Cricetulus griseus: one gene and its partners. The main gene of each other region encodes a partner of the protein of the gene in region 3 in a complex. Links are inferred from orthologs where the notes say so. Each region holds a gene or a part of one and is shown on either strand. Other genes may lie near its edges.

Evidence for each region. The genes of interacting proteins can lie anywhere in the genome.
Region 1: the proteins of Ppp2r1a (region 3) and serine/threonine-protein phosphatase 2A regulatory subunit B'' subunit delta-like are in contact, whole or in part, in a crystal structure (PDB 4I5N), measured with the Homo sapiens proteins. The link is inferred for Cricetulus griseus from reciprocal best matches to the Homo sapiens genes PPP2R1A and PPP2R3B. Residues at the interface, in NP_055040.2 of Homo sapiens: Leu10, Ile13, Ala14, Ile17, Ala41, Leu42, Arg46, Ser49, Glu50, Leu51, Pro53, Phe54, Asp57, Ile59, Asp61, Glu62, Asp63, Glu64, Glu100, Glu101, Thr102, Arg105, Asp139, Trp140, Phe141, Asp177, Thr178, Pro179, Met180, Arg183; in NP_037371.2 of Homo sapiens: Ser122, Ser124, Ile125, Pro126, Thr127, Phe128, Tyr129, Arg275, Trp277, Ser278, Ala284, Glu285, Arg288, Arg354, Ser357, Gly358, Ala359, Val360, Thr361, Arg362, Gly363, Arg364, Gln367, Lys368, Glu394, Arg398, Asp401, Leu402, Asp403, Gly404.
Region 2: Ppp2r1a (region 3) and Pdcd10 share a complex: the UniProt entries of both Homo sapiens proteins name them as parts of the core of STRIPAK complex. The link is inferred for Cricetulus griseus from reciprocal best matches to the Homo sapiens genes PPP2R1A and PDCD10.

Annotation. Positions count from the first base shown.
Region 1 is NC_048603.1:17,809,518-17,813,263, reverse strand, and holds the start of serine/threonine-protein phosphatase 2A regulatory subunit B'' subunit delta-like, read right to left. Parts: upstream 2,266-3,746; 5' UTR 2,116-2,265; coding exon 1,747-2,115; intron 234-1,746; coding exon 18-233; intron 1-17. Other genes in the region: mucin-6-like, read left to right, coding at 2,495-2,612, 2,717-2,966, 3,275-3,746. UniProt on the Homo sapiens protein: The B regulatory subunit might modulate substrate selectivity and catalytic activity, and might also direct the localization of the catalytic enzyme to a particular subcellular compartment.
Region 2 is NW_023276806.1:78,252,582-78,256,327, reverse strand, and holds the start of Pdcd10 (programmed cell death protein 10), read right to left. Parts: upstream 2,746-3,746; 5' UTR 2,594-2,745; intron 1-2,593. UniProt on the Homo sapiens protein: Promotes cell proliferation. Modulates apoptotic pathways. Increases mitogen-activated protein kinase activity and STK26 activity. Important for cell migration, and for normal structure and assembly of the Golgi complex.
Region 3 is NC_048602.1:19,092,756-19,096,501, forward strand, and holds the start of Ppp2r1a (serine/threonine-protein phosphatase 2A 65 kDa regulatory subunit A alpha isoform), read right to left. Parts: upstream 2,763-3,746; 5' UTR 2,682-2,762; coding exon 2,604-2,681; intron 1-2,603. UniProt on the Homo sapiens protein: The PR65 subunit of protein phosphatase 2A serves as a scaffolding molecule to coordinate the assembly of the catalytic subunit and a variable regulatory B subunit.

The sequences.
Region 1 (3,746 bases), on a different chromosome or scaffold from region 3:
CAGGTGACGTCACTCACCTTGGCGACCACGCCCATGTCTTTGAGCCCCACCCTCTGTCGCTCAAACCCCGCGAACACACGCTCCACCCGCGCGATGACGTAATCCACGTCCGGCCCCGCCCCCGGGCGCCCGTGGGGGAAGAAGAAGGCGGGGATCGAGGGGCCAGGGGGCGGGCCGCCGGGGGGCGGGGCTTCCGGGGGCGGGGGCGGTGAGGGCTCCTCCTGTGTCCGCACCTGCAGGGTCACAGGGGGAGGGGTCAGGGGTGGTGACTGACAGTGTCCCGGGAGCCCCACCCAAATCCACCGGCCCGGTCTACTTGCAGCCCCACCAACATGCCACCATGTGAACCACACCCACCCACACAGACGCCGGTCTCAACACATCCTCAGGTCCTGCCCACACCCACCCAGGTGCGTGTCTGCATGTGTGTCTACATGTGTGTGCTTGTATGTGTGTACCATCACGTGACTCTGTGGGTGGGCGTGTGCGGCCGTGTCTGCATGTGTGTGCCCGCATGCGCACTCACATCTGTACATATGTGTGTGTCTGTCTCTGCAACTGGGTCCACACATGTGTGCGCCAGTTGGTGTCTGTGTCCACGCATGTGCTCATGCAAGTATGTATGTATGCGTGCACATGTATGGGGGTGAGTCTCTGTTTGGGCGTGTAGAAGTACATATTTGCATATGTCTGTGCACATGGGTATGCAAGTCTCTTTCTAGGTGCATGTGTGTATGTGTGCCTGTGACTGTGCACTTATGTGCATATCTGTGTGTCTGTGTTTGCAGGCATGTGTGCACATCGCTATGTCTAGGTTTGTGTGTGCATGTGCGTGCGTGTTCCTATCCCTGTGGGTCTAAATGCATCTATGTGTGCATGTGTGTGTACATGTCTCTGTGTGACTCTGTGCATCTCACGGTGTGCATGTGTGACTCTGTGTGTCACTCTGTGAGTGCAGTGTCTGTGTTAACACAGACATGTGTGTGTGTCCATGTCCCTGTGTGTCTATGTGTGTGTGTGTGTGTGTCTGTGTTTGGTTGTATGTGTGTGGTGGTATACAGAAATGCACGTGTGTGTGTGTGTGTGTGTATTTCATGTGTGTGCTGCTGCATGTGTGTGTCTGTATCTGTGTGTCTATGATTGTGTGTGTGTGGTAGCATGCACATGTGCTTATGTGTGTACATGTATACCTGTGTATGTGTGTAGGTGCACACGTGTGTGTGTAGGAACTCATGTGTGTGTTAGTGCACATCTCTTGAGTGTCTCACTGGTGTGTGCGGACAGGTGTACAGCGGTCATGTCTTCCAATACATCACAGGATGCAAATACATTGATTCAAATATATAAAGACACAAACGTGTACTAAGATGTGTGATCCGGTTAAACACAGAAGCGTGTTGAAATATGCAACCATATTAGTTACACAAGCACATCAAATTATGCAAGTACATGAAGATATGCAAATATTAAAACCCGAGTGAATAAAATATGCAAATTACTGAATTATGTGCATATGTTAAAATACGCACACATGCTAAATGTGTCAGCGTCTTAAGATGCGCAAATATATTAAATCTGTGACCATGTTAAAGTGTCCAAACACGGAGTTGAGGGCATCACAACACGCAAACGCTGCACGGTAAGGAATGTGCCAATATCATTAAACCAACGCAGACCTTTGGCCCAGCCTCCTCTGGCCCCACCCCTTCATGTCTCCCCCCCCGCCCCCCCCCCCCCCCCGCTCACCCTTATCCACTCTGCCGTCCTCCTGGGGGCTCTCGCGGGTCTCGCTATGCCGAGGGGCGGTGCAGGGTGGGGGCCGGGGTCCCCGCTGATGACATCAGCTCTGGTGACGTCATTTCTGAAGGTGACGTCACTCTCGCTGGTTATGTCGCTCCTGCTGACGATGCGTCTGCCGGTGATGTCACCGTGGTTGACGTCACTCCCGATGGCGTCACCGCCCCTGGTGATGACGTCGCCGACGTCCCCCGCCTCCTGTAGCCGCCGCAGCCCGTCCCGCAGGGCGTCCTGGGTGCCGGGGTCGCTGAGCCAGCGCAGGAAGAGCTCGTCCACCTTCATGCGCAGCACGGGCTGCAGGGGCTTCCCGGGTGGCATCGCGGGGGTGTGGGGGGACGGAGGGAGGGACAGACGCTGGGGACAGCAGGACCGGCGGATGAGTGGTCAGAGCGGGGACGGACTCGCAGACAACGCTGCCCGCACCTAGCCCTGACTTCAAACCGGGCGCGGCGGCGACGGCGCAGGGGACAACGCGTCATCAGTGCCGCGCCGGGAACATGGCGGAGGCACCGCAGCACTGTCACTATGGCGACTGTAAACAACATGGTTTCCGGCGACATGGCCGACAGCGGCGCAAGCGAAAATACGTCATCTAATCAGCGCCGAGAACATGGCGACAACACCGGCGAGGCGTCACCATGGCGACGGTGAACCAAAGGTTCTTGGGCAAAATGGCGGCGGAGGCCGCGACGTAACCATGGTGACTGTAAACAAAAACGATCACGGGCAACATGAGCGACTTCGGTCCGGGAGCATTGCCAAGTCAACGCTGCGAGGGGAACATGACTCCATGCGCTGCGGTCACCATGGCGACGGTAAACTCAGGAACGTAGGTGGCAACATGGAGCCTGCGTCATCACGGCGGGTCGTACACACGGCGTTGCGTAATCAACGTCGCGCAGCTGTCCGTCATCAATAGGTGCCGCAAACAAACATGTGCTACGTCACAACGTAGCGTGGCAATCACTTAGGAAGGCGTCATCCACGCGACGAGATAAACAAACATGGCGTCTGCGTCGTCACAGCGGCGCCGGTAACCACGGGCTCGGTCGCCTCCGACCAGTAGGGGTCACCTCAGGCTCACGCACACGCTCACCCTGTGGTCCTGGGATCGCCGCGCTGACGTCGGTCCTATCCGGGCTACTCGGAACCGGATCCGACCAGAGGCAGTGCGGGAAAAGCAGCAGCCTTCTGCACATGCGCGGTGCTGACCACTGAGGCAAGTACCAGGAACCGGGCGGAAATGACGTGTTCTACAACTGCGTTCCCCTGTAACTCCGCCCCACTGTTAATAACTCTACCCTTTTAATCCCATGGTTGACTCTGTGCCTATCACTACCGACCTGTCTCCACCCACTTTCACACTGCGCCCTGACTCCGCCCCTATGATTCCGCCCCATGTCTCCGCCCTCTTTGCAACGCCCACTGACTCCGCCCCTGAGACTCAGCTTTTCTGACTCCGCCCCTGTGACTGCAGCCAATGCAACTCTGCACCCTGTGACTGCACCTCACACTCACTGCTCACACCCGCCCCTCACACCCACCCCTCACACCCGCCCCTCACACTCACACCTCACACCCACTGCTCACACCCACACCTCACACTGGCCCCTCACACCCACTGCTCACAACCATTCCTCACACTCATCCCCTCACACCCACCCCTCACATTCATCCCCCACACCCACCGCTCACACCCACTGCTCACACCCACCGCTCACACTCCCCCCTCAACCCTCCCCTCACACCCTACCCTCACACCCATTCCTCACACTCATCCCCTCACACCCGCCCCTCACATTCATCCCCCACACCCACCGCTCACACCCACTGCTCACACCCACCCCTCACACCCTACCCTCACACCCATTCCTCACACTCATCCCCTCACACCCGCCCCTCACACTCATCCCCCACACCCACCGCTCACACCCACTGCTCACACCCAC
Region 2 (3,746 bases), on a different chromosome or scaffold from region 3:
GAGTAGACAAGAACTAATTTTTTCCTTTTGATTAAAAAATTCTCTCCAGGAGGCTATCTTAAATGCTCTAACCCCTATAATGAGATTGATGGCTACCTTACATGCCATTATAGAGCCTTCATCCAGTAGCTGATGGAAGCAGAAGCAGACACCACAGCTAAACACTGAGCCGAATTCCTGGAATCCAAGTTGCAGAGAGGGAAGAGGGATGAGCAAAGGGGTCAAGACCAGGCTGGAGAAACCCACAGAAACAGCTAACCTGAACAAGGGGGAGCTCATGGAGCCCAGACTGATAGCTGAGAAACCAGCATAGAATGGAACCAGTCCCCCTGAATAGTTAGGAGGCCTGGGCAGTCTATGGGACCTCTGGTAATGGAACAGCATTTATCCCTAATGGACCATTAGGTCCCAATAGGCCATTGGGAGCCCATTCCCCATAGAGGGATACTCTCTCAGCCTAGACACACAGGGGAGGGCCTAGGCTCTGCCCAAAATGATGTGACAGACTTTCATGATCCCCATGGAAGGATTCACCCTTTCTATGGAGCAGAAAAGGGATGGGATGGGGGTCGGTGGGGGGCATGGGAGAATGGAAGGGAGAGGGAACTGGGATTGATATATAAAATAAGATTGTTTCTAATTTAAATTTTAAAAAGTTAAAAAAGAAAGTCTTTCCAGAACCACAAAGTTATGTTAAAACTCATTTCATACCTTTCCCACAAACAGCAAATGTCCACAGTCATCTAGAAAATATATTGGCATCCTTGCTTTACAAGTTTAGACTTATATATGGCCCACTCAAACTAAGGCACCATTTTAATCTACTTCAAAATCAACCCCACATAATTTTCCTTTTGTTTAGTTGCTTCTTCCTTATTGTGTATTATATGTATGCAGCGTGTTACATTCCTGATTTCTGTCTCATTCTATAATACCATACCTCTCCATTTATTTTAAAGGTCAGAGTAAAACAAGTCCATATTAAGTTGAACCATAGAGGAACAAAGATTCTTCTGACCCCAGAAAAGTTTTGCATTAAAAAAATCAAATAAATTGTTAGTATTAATCATGGCAAGCAAAACATTCAAAATATTGTGTATTTATTTACAGTATATATGTATTTAATATTTTAATTTACATAATATGATGCCTACTAACTATAAATATGCATGTTTATGAGTATAATCTTATAAAGGAACCTTGTCTTCAATAAAAAAGTACAATTCTATCAACAACCTATCTAGTAATATCTATCAGCTATAATTAGTCAACTTGTTTGAAACAAGTGCATTGCTTTTTACTCAATATACAGGCATCCTTTTTTTTCCCGTTCTTTAACATTAAGAATGAATTAAAAGTCACAGATGATGCCAAGAAAAAGAAAATGCACAAGTCCTGGTTTTTACTACTTACACATGGAGTGAAGAAAATGAGAACCAAAAACCTCAGACAGAAAAAAAAGCCATTTCAGGTAACGACCATGTTATAACTTCTCCATGATTCTGCATTTAATTATCACTCAATGAAAACATTAAAATGTGTAAAATAAGTTTTGTCAAAGTTTCATCCGTACTTTAATCTTAGTTTCAGAAATCAGGAAAGGACTATTCTCTTAATGGCAACGCTGAGCTTATTGCTAAATATTACCTATCTTTTTGGCTCATGGAAGTTGTGTTATCATTTAGTATGTTTCGGAAAAAGGGTAAATATCTAAGCTAAAAAAAAAAAAAACAAAAAACAAAAAAAAAAAACAACCCTTCCCTTTTTAACAAACCGTTAAAGAAGATTGCTTTGGGAAGGATTTCACTCCACCCCAAGCAACCAACTCTTCACCTCCCAAACGTTTCTGAGACGCACACTCAACTTTGCAACTTCTTTTATCCGCTTCGAGCACCTACCAAGCAACTCCCCACTTTTCTATCTAAGCAGACAACTCTGGTCAGAACCTGGACTTTCAGCGGACTGGATTCAGAAGATCTGTGTGACCTTGGACACGTCATTTACTCCTTTAGTTTTCTCAGAAGCATCCCAAAGCGAAAGCGCTTTTGAGTACAGTTCAGGAGTAAAGCCATCTGACGTATGAGAGTTAAAAGGGACAAACACTTCTAGTTAAGAGTTACCTCCTTAGAGAGGCCACATCAGGAAACTGGAACTGAGTCGGAACTGTCAACACCGGCTCTCCTCTTTCCTCAAAGGGCATAACCCCAGTCACTCCGGGAGCCGACTCCCGGGCTCCCACGCTCTCTCCAGGCCTTACACAGCTCCAGCCTCACCTGCCGGGGACCCCACCCCAGCACATCCGCCCCCTCTGTCGGCGGGGACTCGGGAGGCCGACCTCACCCTTCCCCTCCGCTCGCACCCACAGCGGACTTCCTGGAGGTGCCGGGCCGCGCCGGGTAAGCGGCATTTCCAAACCGGCTTTACGCACCTCGCGTAGAGACCTCGCTGACGCCCAGAGGGCCCCGCTCCCCGCCCGTCCGCCCTCCGGCCAGAGCCCAGCCCCAGCGTCTCCGCCTCGGCCCCCGCCTGACCCCAAGCCGCGCTCGCTGCCCGGCGGAGCCGTGAGGACCCGAACCGAGAAAGCTCGCCTTACCAGCAACTGAGGCACGGACTTCACTTCCCACCTTTGGAGCCCTCTTCAACTCCCGGATCAATTCACTCCGGCGACGCCGGAAGGACCCGAGAGGAACCAGGCGTTGTCCGGAATCCTGCCCAGCCGGAGTCGCGCAAGGCCCGATGGGGATTCGTAGTTCCGCCCGCCAGTTCCGTCAGCACTTCCTGCAGACCTAGGACCACATTTCCCAGAAGGACCCGCAAGAACGCCTAGGGCGATAGGTGGGGACACTTGTAGCGAATAAGAAAAGAGTTCCCTGCCTTCACGGGAGGAAGGGAGACGGAGAGGGAGAGCGCCCAGAAACGGAGGAAGGGCGGGGCCGGCTCTCACCTGCACCAATCAGAAGGCAAGGCCGGCCCTCAGACGCCGTGCCCACTGATGGGCGGGGCTCGCAGATGAGTGGAAGGAAAGGGGCGGGGGACCAGAGGTGGCAGGGGACGGGCAGCTGGGTTGGGTGCCTGGGTAGGCTGCGAGGAAGCCTCTGGGGACTGTGGGGGGTGGAGGAGGGAGGGTGAGGCGTGGGCTTCGCTTGGGCTGAAGCGTCAGTACTCCCTAGGACAGCCCACTCTGGTGTACACTGGGCCGGCTCACTGAGGGGGCTAAACCTGACCTGAGAAGCTCCAGGTGCGACTCAGGGTGGGTGGGTGCGGTGGGGGGAAGGGGGGGGTGGACAGAGAACCAGGAGCCGAGACACTTGCTTCAGTAAGGCTTCGCGCCGCCTGCAGCTCGGGTTGCGCAAACGGCAGAGGGAGGAGCCGGAGCCCGAGGTCCGGCCAACTAGAGGAGGGGAAGGCGGAGCTTGAGTCTCAGTAGAAGCCTAGGCTCTGCTTGCTCTGTAGTTTCCCCGGAGAGAGGCAGGAGCAGGATCCTGAGCGATCACAGCCCGCCGAGCATCCTCTCCAGCATCCCGAGCCCGGGAGTGCAGGTGTGCGGGAGGTAAGCGTGGGTGCCCCTTGCCGGCGCCAGCACACCGCCGGGGGAAGAACGGCATCTGACAATAGGAACGCCAGGGCAGAGCTGAAAGAGTGTTATGTTGGCTTAAGATAGCATTGCAACCCCTTTCAGGGGAACGATGTGCAATTTTGGACTATAGTTGGGAGAAAAAGGCAAAAGGTAATTCCTTCTGATGTAT
Region 3 (3,746 bases):
AACCAGAAACTAAGCATTAGCCAGGCAGTGGTGGCGCATGCCTTTAATCCCAACACTTGGGAGGCAAAGGCAGGCAGATCTTTGTGAGTTCCAGTCCAGGCTGGTCTGCAGAGCGAGTTCCAGGACAGGCTCCAGAGCTACAGAGAAACCCTGCCTCAAAAAACCAAATATGCATAAGAATTGGGATCCTAAATATGGCGCTTCCCTGCCACCTGTGGGCAGCTGTTCTTTCACTCAAAAATTTTGATTTTGTTAACAATGTCCTTTTTTTTCCCCCCCAGAAAGATGGCACTGTGAATGCTGAAGAAGAGGCAGAAAGCTGTGAGGCCATGTGGCTTGAATTCAAAGCTAGGCTGTTATCAATCAGCTGCCAGATCTTAGGTCATGTTCACCCAGTGAGACTTATGACAGACTTCTCATCTCCAGAACCATAAATAAAACTTTATGCTGCTCTATACTATTAAATTTATGGTAAAGTGTTACAGAAGCCTTACAAAACTGGCACAATGACCTAAACTAACCAACTTCCTTACTATCCCTGGGTGCATATTTCATCCAAGAGCTTCCCTCAACCTTAGTACCAATGTCTTTAAATGGGACTTTTTTTCTTCCATGAGGGATGGCCTATACACAACAACAATGTATAACAGCATTCCTGACGCATACCCATTAAAAGCAGCAACAATCTCCCAGTTATGACAACCAAAACATCCCTAGACATTGCTAAACATCCCTGGTGGCAAAAATAGCTTCAAGCTGAGGACTACAGTCATTGCACAGGTATAGTCCCTCTTTCTGTAAGCCTCACCCCCAACTTCTCAAGCATTGCATCCTGGAAGGAGTCTCTGAACTGGTCCAATTCCTCGACCAACATTTAGATGTTATGCACTCTGCCCAGAACCCCACAATTCCTTCCTTGACCACAAGCAGGTACCGGCTCAACTTTTCAACAAGACTTCTCCACACTTACTCTAACAATACACCCTATATTCCTTATTTTTCTCTTTACAACCTTTCACAGTCAACACAATCTGCCACTCCTCACTACAAGGTAGATTCTTCCAAGGCCAGTTTTTGTCCTTTTCCTCCCAGATGTACCCAAACACCCAGAGCACAGCTCAGAACACAGGCCCAACAAACAACTGCTGATTCATTATCGCAACACCGACAGGTCTCGTCCCTTTTCACAGGTGGTAGTATATTTATTTAGTTCTCTTTACCTGTTTCACACCTGGCTCCTGGGCAGCAACCAGCCTGTTTCTTTGTTGATACAACAGAGTGTGTCACTATGTGGACTAGGCTAGCCTTGAACCTACCACCCCTGCTTCCTGAGTGCTGAGATTGCAGGCATGCACCACGACGCCTGCCCCCAACAATGACATTCCTGGTAACACCGCATGTGTTTACTCGACACTAAAACCAGGTTGCTATTCCCATTTAACCGAAGAGATTCACACTGGGTTGCCTGGGTCAATCAGCAAAACGTGCAAGGCCCGGAAATACAGCTCCAGCCTGTCTGGCAGCAGAACCTGAATCATATCCACGAGACTTAGAGGCTGGGCGCAGCCTCAGGTTACCCAGTGCACCACCAGGAGAAACAGGGGCACCGCCGCAGAGCACGGTACCACAACAAGCCACTCCCCTCAAATATAACAGCTAACATTTACGGGGCCTTTACAAGCGGCCAGTTTTATTTTACTACCTCTCCTCAGCCACCGGGGTAAGCCAGGACTATTATTAGCCGGTATTTGGTAGAAAACGGAAGCCAGGGGCGATGGAACAACGTGAACACAAGGTCATCCTCAGGCCTTGAGGTCTGACCTCTCTCTCTCTCTCTCTCTTTTTTTTTTTCAGAACCACAGCAGACCCACTAAAAGCCCCTGGGCCTGGGTCACTCTTCTCCCGCCAACCTGAACTATCACCTCCCTTGGCAAAAAGTCCGGCCTGGGGCGAGCCTGGGGAAGGGGGTGTGGGGTGGGGTGGCGTGTGCACACGTGACCCGTCCCTGAATTAGGCTAGTCGAATTTCGGGAGAGGAGGATGCCTTTCCACGTCCTCCTCTCCCCTCCTCCTGCATCAATACGAGGCGGAGGCCCGAGAGGAGTGGGCTGCTGCCCTGGTTATCAGCACCCCTGGGGCCCAGGATGGAAAACACCGAGGAGCAATGGGGAAATCGAGGTCCCCAGCACCCAGGAGGGCTTCCCCTCCTCGGCGGCTCACGCGCCCCCCCGGGTGGGGGGGGGGTCATTCCGAGTCCGCCGCCGCCAATCACCCGACGGGCCGCCGGCCCCAGGCTCCCTGCCCCAGCCCATCTCGGGCCGCCGGGCACAGATTTCCCCGGGCGGCCGCGCGCGCCCAGGAGGGACCCTCGAGGCTTGCCCTCCGCTGGGGCCCACGGCCAATCAGGAGCGCCGTCTCATGGAGTCTCGCCCCTCGGCACGATGAGACGCGGCTGCTGATTGGCCGCCGCTGCCTTCCGCCACTCCCGGAGCAGCCGGAGCCATCTCTCTGTCTCCCCGTCCGTCCCGCATTCCGCCGCCGCCCCGCAGGTCCCCGGTCTCCCCCCCACGACCCAGCTCTAAGGGCAGGGCGCCCCGGGCGCACCTGGACGTCCTCATTGCGGAGCTCGTCTATGAGCACCGCGATGGGGTAGAGCGAGTCGTCGCCGTCGGCAGCTGCCATCTTGGCTCCCCGGCGTCTCCGTCAAGCTGCGGCCAGCGCCGGGCGGAATCCAGGATCGGGCGGGGCGGCGCCGTGTTGGGCGGGGGAGCGGGTGGGGAGAGAGAAGGACGCGAGAGGGCGTGGGGGCTCCCGGGCCACGCTACAGGGGCCGTCCCACCCCCATTGGCCGCCCCGGGTCGCGTCTGTTTGGTCCACACCAACCAAGTCCCGCCTACCTCCCACGCTCCATTGGTCGGGGCGAAGCGGGCTGGGCTTTCCGCCGGGCGATCGGAAGCGGAAGTGGGGCGTCTTAGCGACCGAAATTGTGCCCGCCTCGCGTTACCGCTGGCAACCGCGGAAACGAGCGGGGCTCTGAGCCAATGAGGAGCGAGGGTGGGAGGTGCGGGGGGCGGGGGTGCGGCTCTGCGGGGCGGTGCGGAGAGAGCGTAAGGTGGGGTGTGGAGAGCGGTGAGTGACGTAGTGGAGGACAGGCTGGTCGGGGCGGACTGGGCGAGCCCTTGCTATCCGGCTGAGGAACATGTAGTTCTTTGGTTAGAAGTCAGCGAGCCGGAAGGTATTTGCGGGTGTACGCCCAGCGCTGGGACCCCCCCCACCCCCGCCCCCTTACCGGCTCCTATGAATTCTCACAGTCACGTCCCCTTAAGACTGAAAAATGCACGTTTGAGAGGGAGCAAGGTGCAGGGTTGGCTGCAGCCTTGTGAAGATTATCTTCTCTTAGCGACCCATGGTTATTTTTGTAATTTTTTTTTAAATTTGCTTTTCCCTTCCCTGCCTCCCCCCTCCCTCTTCTCAGAATAGAGAGACAATTAAAACAGAAAACGCCCTTCCGGAGAGAGTGGGCATTGGTAATCCGTGATGTGCCTTGGGATCCAAGTGTGTCTCTGTCTGGCCCTGAGTGGAGGCACGAGAACTGGGAAGCCCGGGGGAGGTATGGAGAGGTGGCCCCTAACGCTGCTGTGTGGACGAGGCGTCCCTCCCGAGTTGAATGATCTGTGTAGAAACCTCTCCCCTTTCCTGTGTCGTCTCCCTTCGTATCTAGCGATGCTTTTCCAGTCTCTCCTCTTG